Drosophila melanogaster: one gene and its partner. The protein of the gene in region 1 interacts with the protein of each later gene in a pairwise test. Each region holds a gene or a part of one and is shown on either strand. Other genes may lie near its edges.

What was found. Proteins that work in one complex are often made in the same cells at the same time.
Region 2: the proteins of CG6276 (region 1) and L interact in a two-hybrid assay, tested with the Drosophila melanogaster proteins (one large-scale study listed by BioGRID).

What each region holds. Positions count from the first base shown.
Region 1 is NT_033777.3:15,317,216-15,322,208, forward strand, and holds CG6276 (uncharacterized protein), read right to left. Parts: upstream 2,855-4,993; 5' UTR 2,699-2,854; coding exon 2,612-2,698; intron 2,551-2,611; coding exon 1,225-2,550; 3' UTR 988-1,224; downstream 1-987. Other genes in the region: CG14866 (uncharacterized protein), read left to right, coding at 1-223, 280-923; CG44040 (uncharacterized protein), read left to right, coding at 3,210-3,392; ear (ENL/AF9-related), read left to right, coding at 4,203-4,389, 4,461-4,993.
Region 2 is NT_033778.4:14,433,648-14,439,186, forward strand, and holds the start of L (lobe), read left to right. Parts: upstream 1-2,251; 5' UTR 2,252-2,470; coding exon 2,471-2,513; intron 2,514-5,539.

The DNA.
Region 1 (4,993 bases):
CAGCTCTTTGGCATAGGTGGCAGTGGTGGTGGTGGTGGTAGCGGTACCCAGCAACAGCAACATGTGCGACCAGTGCCGCTGCAACAGCAGCAAGTGCAACAGATAGCGCAGCAACACCCGCAACAGCAACATCTTGTGGGCGGTCAGCCGACCACATTCCGAGCTGTCTCCGAAAATGATCTTTATCTCTTGGGAGCCATTGAAAAGTTGGTGTATCGAGTGGGTAAGTTGAAGTCACACCTAGGAGTTCTTGGTCTAAGTAAAAGCAAACACCCATAGATTACCTGGAGAGTCGCGTGCGGCGCTCGGAGCAGCTGATCTACTATCTGATGGCCGGAAACAATCAGAAGGAGGTGAAGGATCCCTGTCCCGCGAACTTCACGCGCATCAGCGACAACTGCTACTACATCAACAGCCAGCAGCAGGTGAACTGGAAGACGGCAAACTCTGCCTGCAAGGGTCTAAACTCCCACCTGGCCGAGTTCGAGAAGGTCTCGGAGAATGAGGAGATCATGGCCTATCTGCTGAATCAGCCGACGCATCGTGGTCGCGATTACTGGCTGGGCGGTCTCAATCCTGGCCTCCTCTGGATCTGGTCCAATTCGGCTAAGCCGGTGAATCCCAACATGAATCTCACATCCATTGCGATGGCCCAGAAGGGGGAGAACTCGACGGCCGCCAATCTGGTGGACAGTTCGGAGCAGGCGGCAGAGGAGGCGACCGGCGAGGATGTGCTGAACAACACGGTGCAAATAGAGGGCAAGGGTCGCTGCCTACGGCTAAGTTACAATGCCGGAAAGCACAGCTATGTGTACTACGGACAGGAGTGCACCTCGCGGCACTACTACATCTGCGAGCACGAGGACAAGACGCTGGACAACAAGATCAAGAAGATCACCCGCGAGCTGAAGCTGTTCGAGTGAGGATGGGATGCAACCCATTCCGATCCTCATGTGATACTTCAAGTTACCTAGCCATATATCGCATAATTTCAAATGAATTTATTCTTGTGTTACACATTAAATATTTATAAATATTTATACAATTAATAAACATACCGGATAGTTTTCAAAACGTTTTTAAGGATACTTTGTTCTTGCACAGCGAAGCTTAAAGGATTCTTTTTTTTTCTCCAACGAAAATACAAAAGAGAATATTAAACAAAATCGATACTGGAACTGGGTTCCGTTTGCGTTAAGCGGAAGGTATACACAGAGATCAACGCTAATCCGGATACAGGTAGTCCTGCAGGATGTTCTGGAAGGCTATCTTTATCTTGCCGCGATCACGGCCGTTCAGCTTTTGGATGTCGGGCAGCAGGCTCATCAGAAACATGGCATCCGGATCGGTCTTGCAGTCGCACAGCTCCGCACCGCCGTTGGACACGGATCCGCCGGACGCGTTGTTGGCTTCCAAACGCAGAGGAAGCGCTGACGGCGGCACCTGTGGATGTCCTCCATGCATATGGTTGTGCCCATGCCGTTGACTCAAGTAGCTACTGCTACTGCTGGCACTAACACTACTACTGGGCGCCATCGGGGTGGCCACGGCCGCAGTGGATGGTGTGGGCAGTTCCGCTTCGGATAAGCCAGCAGTTCCTGGAACACCTCCTCCTCCTCCGCCTCCGGCGTGCGTTGTAGTGCTAACCAAATCCACGGGCTTGCTGAAAGTAGGTCGCACAAACGAAATGTTTGGATGGGCAGTCGGCTGTGCGGAGTAGTTGACCCCGGCCACTGCTGCAGTTGGAGCTTGGAGTTCCTGGGAACGCGGACGAATAGCGCCACGCATCTCGTCATGGTAGGTGCGCATTTGGAGGCGACCCGGAAGCATTCGGCTGGCGTGTGAATGCTGGTTGGCATAACGACGCTGGGCCTCCGCCGATGAAGAGCTAGAAGTAGGCGCCATCTTGTGTAGGTCCTGGTCATCCTGTTCATCCTCCTCGGGCTCGTGCGCCTCTTGTTCGTAGTCATCCACCGGCTCCTCGCACTCCGACTTAATGTCGTTGCCGTCCAACTGGCCGTGGTAACGACTGTTGCGCTGCTGCTCCTCCTCCATGATGTCATCCAGCTCGGAGTTGTTGTGTTCCGCCTCGTCAAAGTAGTCCAGATAGTTGTCCAGCTGCTGTGCAGGTGGTGACTGGTGGGCGGAGGGCGTGGGCTGGCCACCAATACTGCTGCTGCCCGGAATGGTCACTGAACGCTCACGCTGCATACGACTAGAAAGGTTCGAGAGGTGTGCCAGGGCGTCCTGCACCTGTGTGTCCAGCGATTTGGGCTGCTGGTGCTTCTTGCGTAGATACGGATGCAGAAAGAACATGCGGTCGAAGTAGGACCAGCAGGGTGGCACCTTTTCCTCCAGATAGTTGGTGTACTCTCGTCGGAACGAGATGCGCAAATTGGTCCACTTGGCCAGACTGGCGCCCGGATTCTTTTCCAGCTTCAAATCCACCTCGCGCCAAAAGTTCTCCACGTACGGGCGGCAAAAGTAGTATTTGTGCCTCGGATTGTAGATGGCCTCGTCGCGCTGCACAATTTCGATTAGTTTAAAGACCTACAGAACAACAGAAATATGTGAATCAAATCATTTTCAAATTGCATATCCATGCAAATACCTCCTCCGTTAGCCAGCGGGATGCACTACAGCTGGTGTTGGGATTGCTGGACACGAACTGGCTGCCCGCGAAGTCGGTCGTCATCATGGGTGGGCTGTGGCTCCAAGGCAGTCGCTCCGATGGATTCAATTTTTGGCTGACTTATCCAGCGTTCGCCATAACTTTTGCGAAATATTTTTATTGTTTTTCCCAAGTGTTCTTTTAAGTGCTGTGAACCAAACAGGCGGCCGAACTGGTTCCGGATCACAGAAGCTTTTGCTGACTATTTTGGTTTATGCGGGTTCCTTAAAAACAATGATCATGCAATATAAAAATTTCCCATATATATATCATCTTGTCTGAATCCGCGTGCTATGCTTAAAAGCTTAACCTGTAAGTGGCAAAAAGCGAAATTCCATGTGTTGCTATTTCTAAACAAACACAAAACACATTATTTAAGTACCACGCAGTGTTTGCCGAATTGTTTCTTTTCTCTTGATATTTGGTACATAGGCGGAATTGAAGCATTTGTGTCAATATTTGCAAATCTAAAAATGAAAGGTATAAAATTGAGCAACTATCCCCGGGAAAATATCACAGTCACAAAAGAGTAATCAAGATGAAGTTCTTCGCCATTCTGTTCCTTCTGTGCGCCATCGTTGGATTCGCTGCATCCTCCACCTCGACAACCACGACGGAAGCCTCCTCTGATACTTCAACCACTTCGGCGGCACCATCCCCAGTTCCGTGCGGAAATGGGCCCCAAGGACCATGTGGCAAGAAACTATACTTTTTCTACTAAGAAACAAATAAAGCACTCTATTCTTTAAAAAATGCATCGAGTTAAAAATCTGAATGAATTTAAACTAGATATATGTACATATTTAAAACTAATTTCACGAGCCACCCTAGAAAAAGTAAACGCAACGCATATTCTAGTATATTTTACCCGACTCAAGTGTATTTTTTGGTGCCCCGAACTTTGGTCACACTTTACCATTTTGGATTTTATTTTCTGTGTTTTTCCAAAATTTACTTCGATTCTGGCTCCAAGCTTTTACGTTTTTTCTGAAAATTGTGCGCATCTCCATGTGAATGCCGCACGGCGCGATAGTAAGTATAAAGCGTGGCTGGTGGGGGCATGTGGCTAAAGGAAACCACAAACACGGCGAAAGCTTGCAACATGAAAAGTCCACATTGTGGCACACATTCGCTCACAAACAATAACAAATTGAACGCAAAGCGAATCATAACAAAAAACGTCGGTTATCAAAGGATATTCAAAATGTGGTAGCTAGTGCGGGCATCCTGAGACCGATTGAAAGGTTTCCAAAGCCAGGCGCAGACTTGGAGGACGTGACCTGCCACAGGATTCGCATTAGAAATCACGCATGCACACTGAAGCGAAAGCAAGGAGCGCAATACTTGGCTAACACCTCGTTTGGCAATCCATTGGGCCTTTCCACATAACTGGCGATCATTTGTTTACGTCGCATCAAGCTTAAGTGCTTGCACACTCGAGTTGCATTGGTTTTGGCGCGCTAATACGTAGCATCTTAATTCACCACTTAATTGCAGGCAATCACTGGAACTTGATGCCCTACCCACAGGCATGGCGGTCAAGGTGCAATTCGAAATTGGCCACACGTCGAAGCTGCGCAGCAAGAAGACACCGCATCCGCAGGCCTTTACGCACGACTGGGAGATCTACGTTCAGGGCGTGAACAAGGCGGACATCAGTGCTTTTGTGGAGAAGGTGGTCTTTGTGCTGCACGAATCCTTTCCGAAACCCAAACGAGGTAAATGCGGCGATATATCATGGGAGTAGTTCAGTCGGATTAACTCTGTTACCCGAATTGTTTATTTGCAGTGGTCAAGGAACCGCCGTATGCCATTCAGGAGTCCGGCTACGCTGGCTTCCTACTGCCTGTTGAGATTTACTTTCGCAACCGAGACGAACCCAAGCGCATTGTTTACCAGTACGACCTGGTACTGCAGTCCACGGGTCCACCGCAGCACCACGTCGAGGTAAAGACGCACATTTTCGAGGCGCCGTCGGAGGAGTTTCGCACGAAACTTATGCGAGGCGGTGGAGTGCCAGTGTTCGGAGCTAACATCGGTGCCGGCAGTCTCGCCCGAACGCTTTCGCCCAGTGTTGGCAGCGGTGAGACAGCGCACAGTAATGAGATGTCTGGTGTCAAAGCCAAAGGCGTACCAGGTACAATATCCATGAACTCGGATTTAAACACCGGCAAGAAACACAAGTCGCGCAGCGAGGATCCCGGAAAGAGCAATGCCTTCTCTGCCCTCTTCGGTCCGCCTATCACGAAGACCAGCGTAACGGCCAACAACATGGCCCAGGTGCCTGTCTCCAAGCACTCTCCGGAGGCTAAAAGTGCTGCC
Region 2 (5,539 bases), on another chromosome or scaffold:
CAGACACTGGGTTAACTGGCGCTGCTCGCCGCTACTTTTACTACGCATCTTCGACGATAGTAAACAATGGAGTAAGGAGCAGGGAGTAAGGAGTAGGCAGTAGGGAGTAAGGAGTAAGTATGGGGCACGGAGGTTCCAAGCGCAATCGAGGCCTCTGATGAATGAATACATGAATGGAATCAGGCGAGGGAGTTGCGTGGCGAACGAATAATGTATCCGGAACTGGACCCTCGATCGATCGATTTCCGCGACATATGCGTATCAAATTTTCATGTAGATCTCTGGGATCCCAAGAGAGGAAGTGCCCAAGGTGCCAGGATGAGATATCGAGGATAAGAATGGGATAACGAAGTTTTTTTTGGAGATTTATGGTTAAGCATTTAAATATTTATTATCAAGATCTCTATTGTGATCCTATCAATATGTTTAAACAAATGGTTTTGGTGCATTTGAAAAAATTCGGTTTTTTGTATTCCCATTTTTAAATCACTGCTCTTATTTATTTTACTTCGACTTTGACTACGCAATTAAACACTATTAAAGCTAAACTACACTACGCAAAACTAAAGGGTACCGTCTAAAAACAATTATTACGCCATTGTTTGTTTATTAATTGTACATCAAATTTTTTTAATCTCTTATGCAATTTGACTTTAAGAGGAAATATATTTATTTTAAACATACCGTTGCCTTTAAGTGTCACACCAGCGACATCTATGGAGTCACAGCGCCAGTCGCTACCAAACAGTTTTCAAGAAATTACTGTAGGTGGCGCCTAACATTCAAAGCAAGGCGAATTGCGGCGGCGAAAAATGAATTCAATCGGTCTAGCATAATTTTGGTCAGTAATTGAATTTCTTTTGTTCGCATTCAGCGAAAACCATCCACAAGATCTATTATTTAGAATCCTGAATATCCAATAAATATTGAAATATGTAAAAGATATATCGTTGTAAGCGATTAAATATATTTTAATGTTATATCCAATACAATAGTATTACTAATTCATCTTCATCAAAATATATAATTCGTTCAGCTGTCTTACTATTTCTGTACTATGTGCAATAATATACCTTTATATGCTTCCAAGTTCTTAAAATGTAATGTAAAAAAAAAATGAAAAAAATATGTAAAAACACCACTCCAGTGGTGAGTGCACTCACAATTTGCCAACAAATAATCCGCTTGGGAAAATAAGTTTTATTTTCCAATTTTGAGGTTTAATGTATACCACTAATTTCCAAGAATTTTTCTAAACAATTTAGTAATATGTGCAACGTTAAGTCCCCATATGAAAACGTATACTTTAAACAACAAACGGCGAAGTAACAAAAGATATATAAATATATAACATAAGAACATAAGAACGATTTCAAGGTCACAGTTTGATCTCTAACTAAAACAGAATTTAAATTCATTCTCTAACACATTCTGGATTCACAGTTGGTTTATCTTACTTTGTCTTTAGCACAACTTTAAATCATTCCTTAATTCATTCCATACCAATCTTTGCCTTTAATGAGTCTCACCACATCACCTTTCGTATCCCAAGCGTGTGGTACTCCTGAAATATGGATGAGTGGATGGCACAACAAAGGATCCATTGCCCATGTCGTCGTCACCCGCTGCCAAAGCACTAGAATTTCTGCTTCTGGACACGTTTCTCACGGTGCACCAAGGAGCTGAGCGGTGTGCGTTGGTTATCCCGCTGCTGAGAAACCAAGTGGAAACTGCAATTCGCAGGGCACCTTGGGAGAATCGAAATCGCCTCGAGATCGCGCCCCTTTTGATGGACCCCCCATACGCACGTGCGAAAGTCGGCTATAAAATAATTGACTTGACTTTATAATTGCAACAGGCGAGCGGGGAGGGCAACAAAATAGAAGAATCTATCACACTGTGAGCAGTCGGCATGGGTTCCCGGGCTGCTGGGCTACCGGGCTACCGGGTTCCCTGGCTCTTCAAAAGGCACCCAGAAACGCTCGTGATTGGTGCCGCGCCGGTATTCTCTAGGGGATGGAAGCGAAGCAACCCCCAGGGGAATAAGTTCAGCACTGATAGATGGTTCACTGCTTGGATGTCTGGGAGTTCTTGGGTGGCTCTGTTCTACCACCTCATCCTGCTCTCTCCGCATCTGATTGCTCTCTCTGCCAATCTCTGTCGCTCTTTTATTGTTCGCGACTGCGCTGTGGACATACCATTTTGTTTTAAGAGCTTCTGTTTTGATGCCACCTTTTTTGGGCCAGCATTCAGTCAGTTGCCGACGCTCAAGGCACAAGGATATTCGCTGCGTTTGCCAGGACTCGCTGGCTGTGACACAAAAAACCAAAACAAATCGCTTTGGCGCGAAACGGAAGCCGCACGGCGAGCTAGGCCCACTCAAGCCAAATCAAATCAAATCAAGTCAAATCAAACTAAAGCAGCTTTATAAACGGAAACGGAAACAGTGATTTAAATAGCCAACGTGGCCATGTCCCGACGCAAACAGGCCAAGCCGCGCGCCTGTCTCAAACGTAAGTTGGGCGCCAGTGGTCAGTGGCAGGACTCGAATCCCCAGGTGGCCACCAACTGACATGGTCTCCATTTCCATATCCTGAGTGTGTTCCAGCATGTCCCACTGCTTACGAGTGTACTCCGTGTGTTTGTCTCTGTTTGTGTGTGCGTGCATCTGATTGATTTGCTTTGATAAACCCCAAAGGTGGGGGGGAGGGGTGGAGTGGACACAACATTACTCTGCCAAACTTTGCTCGCGGGACCGCAAAATGTGACAAATGCAAATGGCCTCGGCCTGCTATGGCCCACAATCCGGTCCGGTTGGGCTATTGCCCATTTCCCCTGCCCTCCAGTTTCGACTACCGATTCCCGGCCAGAGCATACCATGCCGTACCATCCCAATCCCATTCCGTACCCAAACCGGCTGCAGCCCAGCAGCTTGCAGGCATTGGTCAATCCCCAGGGATCAACACACCTAACTGTCAGTGATAGAGAGCGACCAAAGAGGGGGGAGGGGGGGAGGGCATAGTGGATGAGGGAGCCCTGGTTGGGACCCGGCTGGGCGGTCGGCTGGAGGGGTCGGGGCAAGGCGGGGACGAGGCAGGTGCTCTGGGGGCCAAGAGACCCCCGAAACCCAAACAAACCCACCCAGTATGAGGTTGAAACATTGAGTGTTCTGGTCAACCAACAAGTAAATGGTTAACAAAAACGGCTCCATGACGAATGGGGGATACGCTTTCTTGGTTGATATAAATAAAAAATATTGTGGATAAATAAAATATTATTGGAAGAATAAATTAGTCAAGTTTACATATATTATTTGATAGATTATTTCCTTTCTGAGATTTTAATTAAGATGTCAACTTTGGTGATTAATTTGCATTTTTTCTTGTTAATTGGTTCAGTTTATGTTCAATAACATTTACGCGTATTGAAGAAGAATCCATTTTTAGTTAGAATATCCTAAAGTGTTAGGCATAGATTTTGGCCCAAGGACAACATGTTGAAGGACATGAAAAGCTAGTTGACCAAAACGCAGTATTGCCGTTTGGTTATTTTTGTGATCTGGCTGGGAGTGCGGTGCAGTTTTTCGATTCGGTTCCATTTTCCGTTCTGCGGCCGGGCCAAGCCAAGGCAACCAAAGTGCCGTTAATTTTTAATACAATTCCAAATTGTGTCAGTGTAAATAACAGCAGAGCAAAAGCAGAAGCAGCAGCCGCAGCAGCGGCAGCAACAACAATGATAACAAATAAAATTGACAATAAATCCAATGCACACATGTGCATGTGGAGGTGGAGGTGGAGGTGGGCTGGTGGGTGTAAGTGGGTGGTTTTGTGGGTGGCCAGCTGAGGGGGGATCTGAGGCCCCCAAGGACAACTGGCGCACACACAAACTAACTCACACACACACACACAGAGACGGGCGGTAGAGGGAGAGAGAGAGAGCGAGAGACAGAGAGAGATATCCTCATGCTGGGGCATGAAAATTTCCCCAACGTATAAAAAAGCGAACTTTGGCTTGCTCTTTTTGCAGCCATCTCTGTCGCACCAATGTGCCCGGCGAGGGGCGCGCGAAAAAAGCACAAAACACAGAAAACCCATTGCCATGTATTTCTCAGGGGAGTCGGCAACGGCTCTCTGGCCAATCCCCTCGAGAAAAGCGCCGGGCAACGAGGCAGCAGCAACATCCAACGGTAGCAACAGCAACAAACATGCGCCAACTCCCTGGGGAGTTTTCATTTGTTGACGGCGTTGCCAGCCAGTTTACCACTACATATCTCTAGGTATATTCCCCGATTTATATATACATATGTATGTATGTATATGCCGAACATACATATATGTAGGTGGCTCACAAGCTCAGCTATTTTCATTGACAATCAAACAACAACATACCCACATCATCTATTGCAAAAAATAAGAGCCCAAATATATGGAAATTTTTCGATTTGTTTTTTTTATCAAGCTTTTTGAACACCTATCAAAAATATGTAACTTACCTATACAAATTTTGGTCCATTACAGAAATATAACTATATACAAAGGTATATAGGAGGTATTTTATTTGTTGCTAAAAACTATTTAATATAAATTAGGAATGTCTCTATTAATTTAAAGATTTTAGATTATAGAATTGTTTTTACGTTCACCATCGTTTATTTTCCAGTTTTGTGACCCACGATTGATTAATCAAAAGAACCTTTACCAATTCTCAACTTCCCTCCCATCCAGCTGGCATTCTGAGTGGTATGCATATTTTTAGCAGACACTGTCTGCGTAAAATGCTTTAAAATGCCGGCTTCTGCTGGCGAATTCCCATGGCTAGGCGAAAGGCTTAGGATTCCAGCTGCCATAAGTTGTCGTTGCCTTCCTTCTGGCCCCTCTCGCCACTCATTCCCAGTCATCCTCAGATCCAGCCCTTTCCCGCTGGCCCACCAGTTCCGTTTCACCTCATCGTCAACGTGAGCGCGAGTCCTTGGTGTATTGGCAAAATATTTGCCATTGCACGGCAAAATCGCGCGCCAAAAATAGCAGCAGCAGCAGCAGGAGCAGCAACAACAGCGGAATAAGGATCTCAGAATCCAGGAGCTGTAGTGGGAATCCGCTGTGGGCATAGGCTACCATGTGCAATGGCTTCTGCTCCTGCTCCAGCTCCAGCTGGCACATAATGTGGGATATTGGCTGCGTCTAATGGTAACTAGTTTGGTAAATAGAATTTGCTGTGGGCCATGGCAATGAGTGGGTGGTTGGTTGGGCGATGTGGTAGAGGTGGGGCAACAGGGTCGTGGGGCGTCTTGGGGATTCGCCGGAAGGCAACAACACTGCAAACGACATTAGCAACGGCCGTGGTGGTGATGGTGGCATTTTGACAGCTCTGCGGATTCCACGGCACTCACACATGAGCGGCTGTTGTTTAGTTTTGGCTTGAGGATTTTAGTTCGGGTAGCTAAAGTGGCGGCAGTAAAAACTACCAAAACAAAGGAGGTGATTTCTAAATAACTTAACTGGATTTAATTAAAGATGAGGTTTAATTAATACATAAAAAC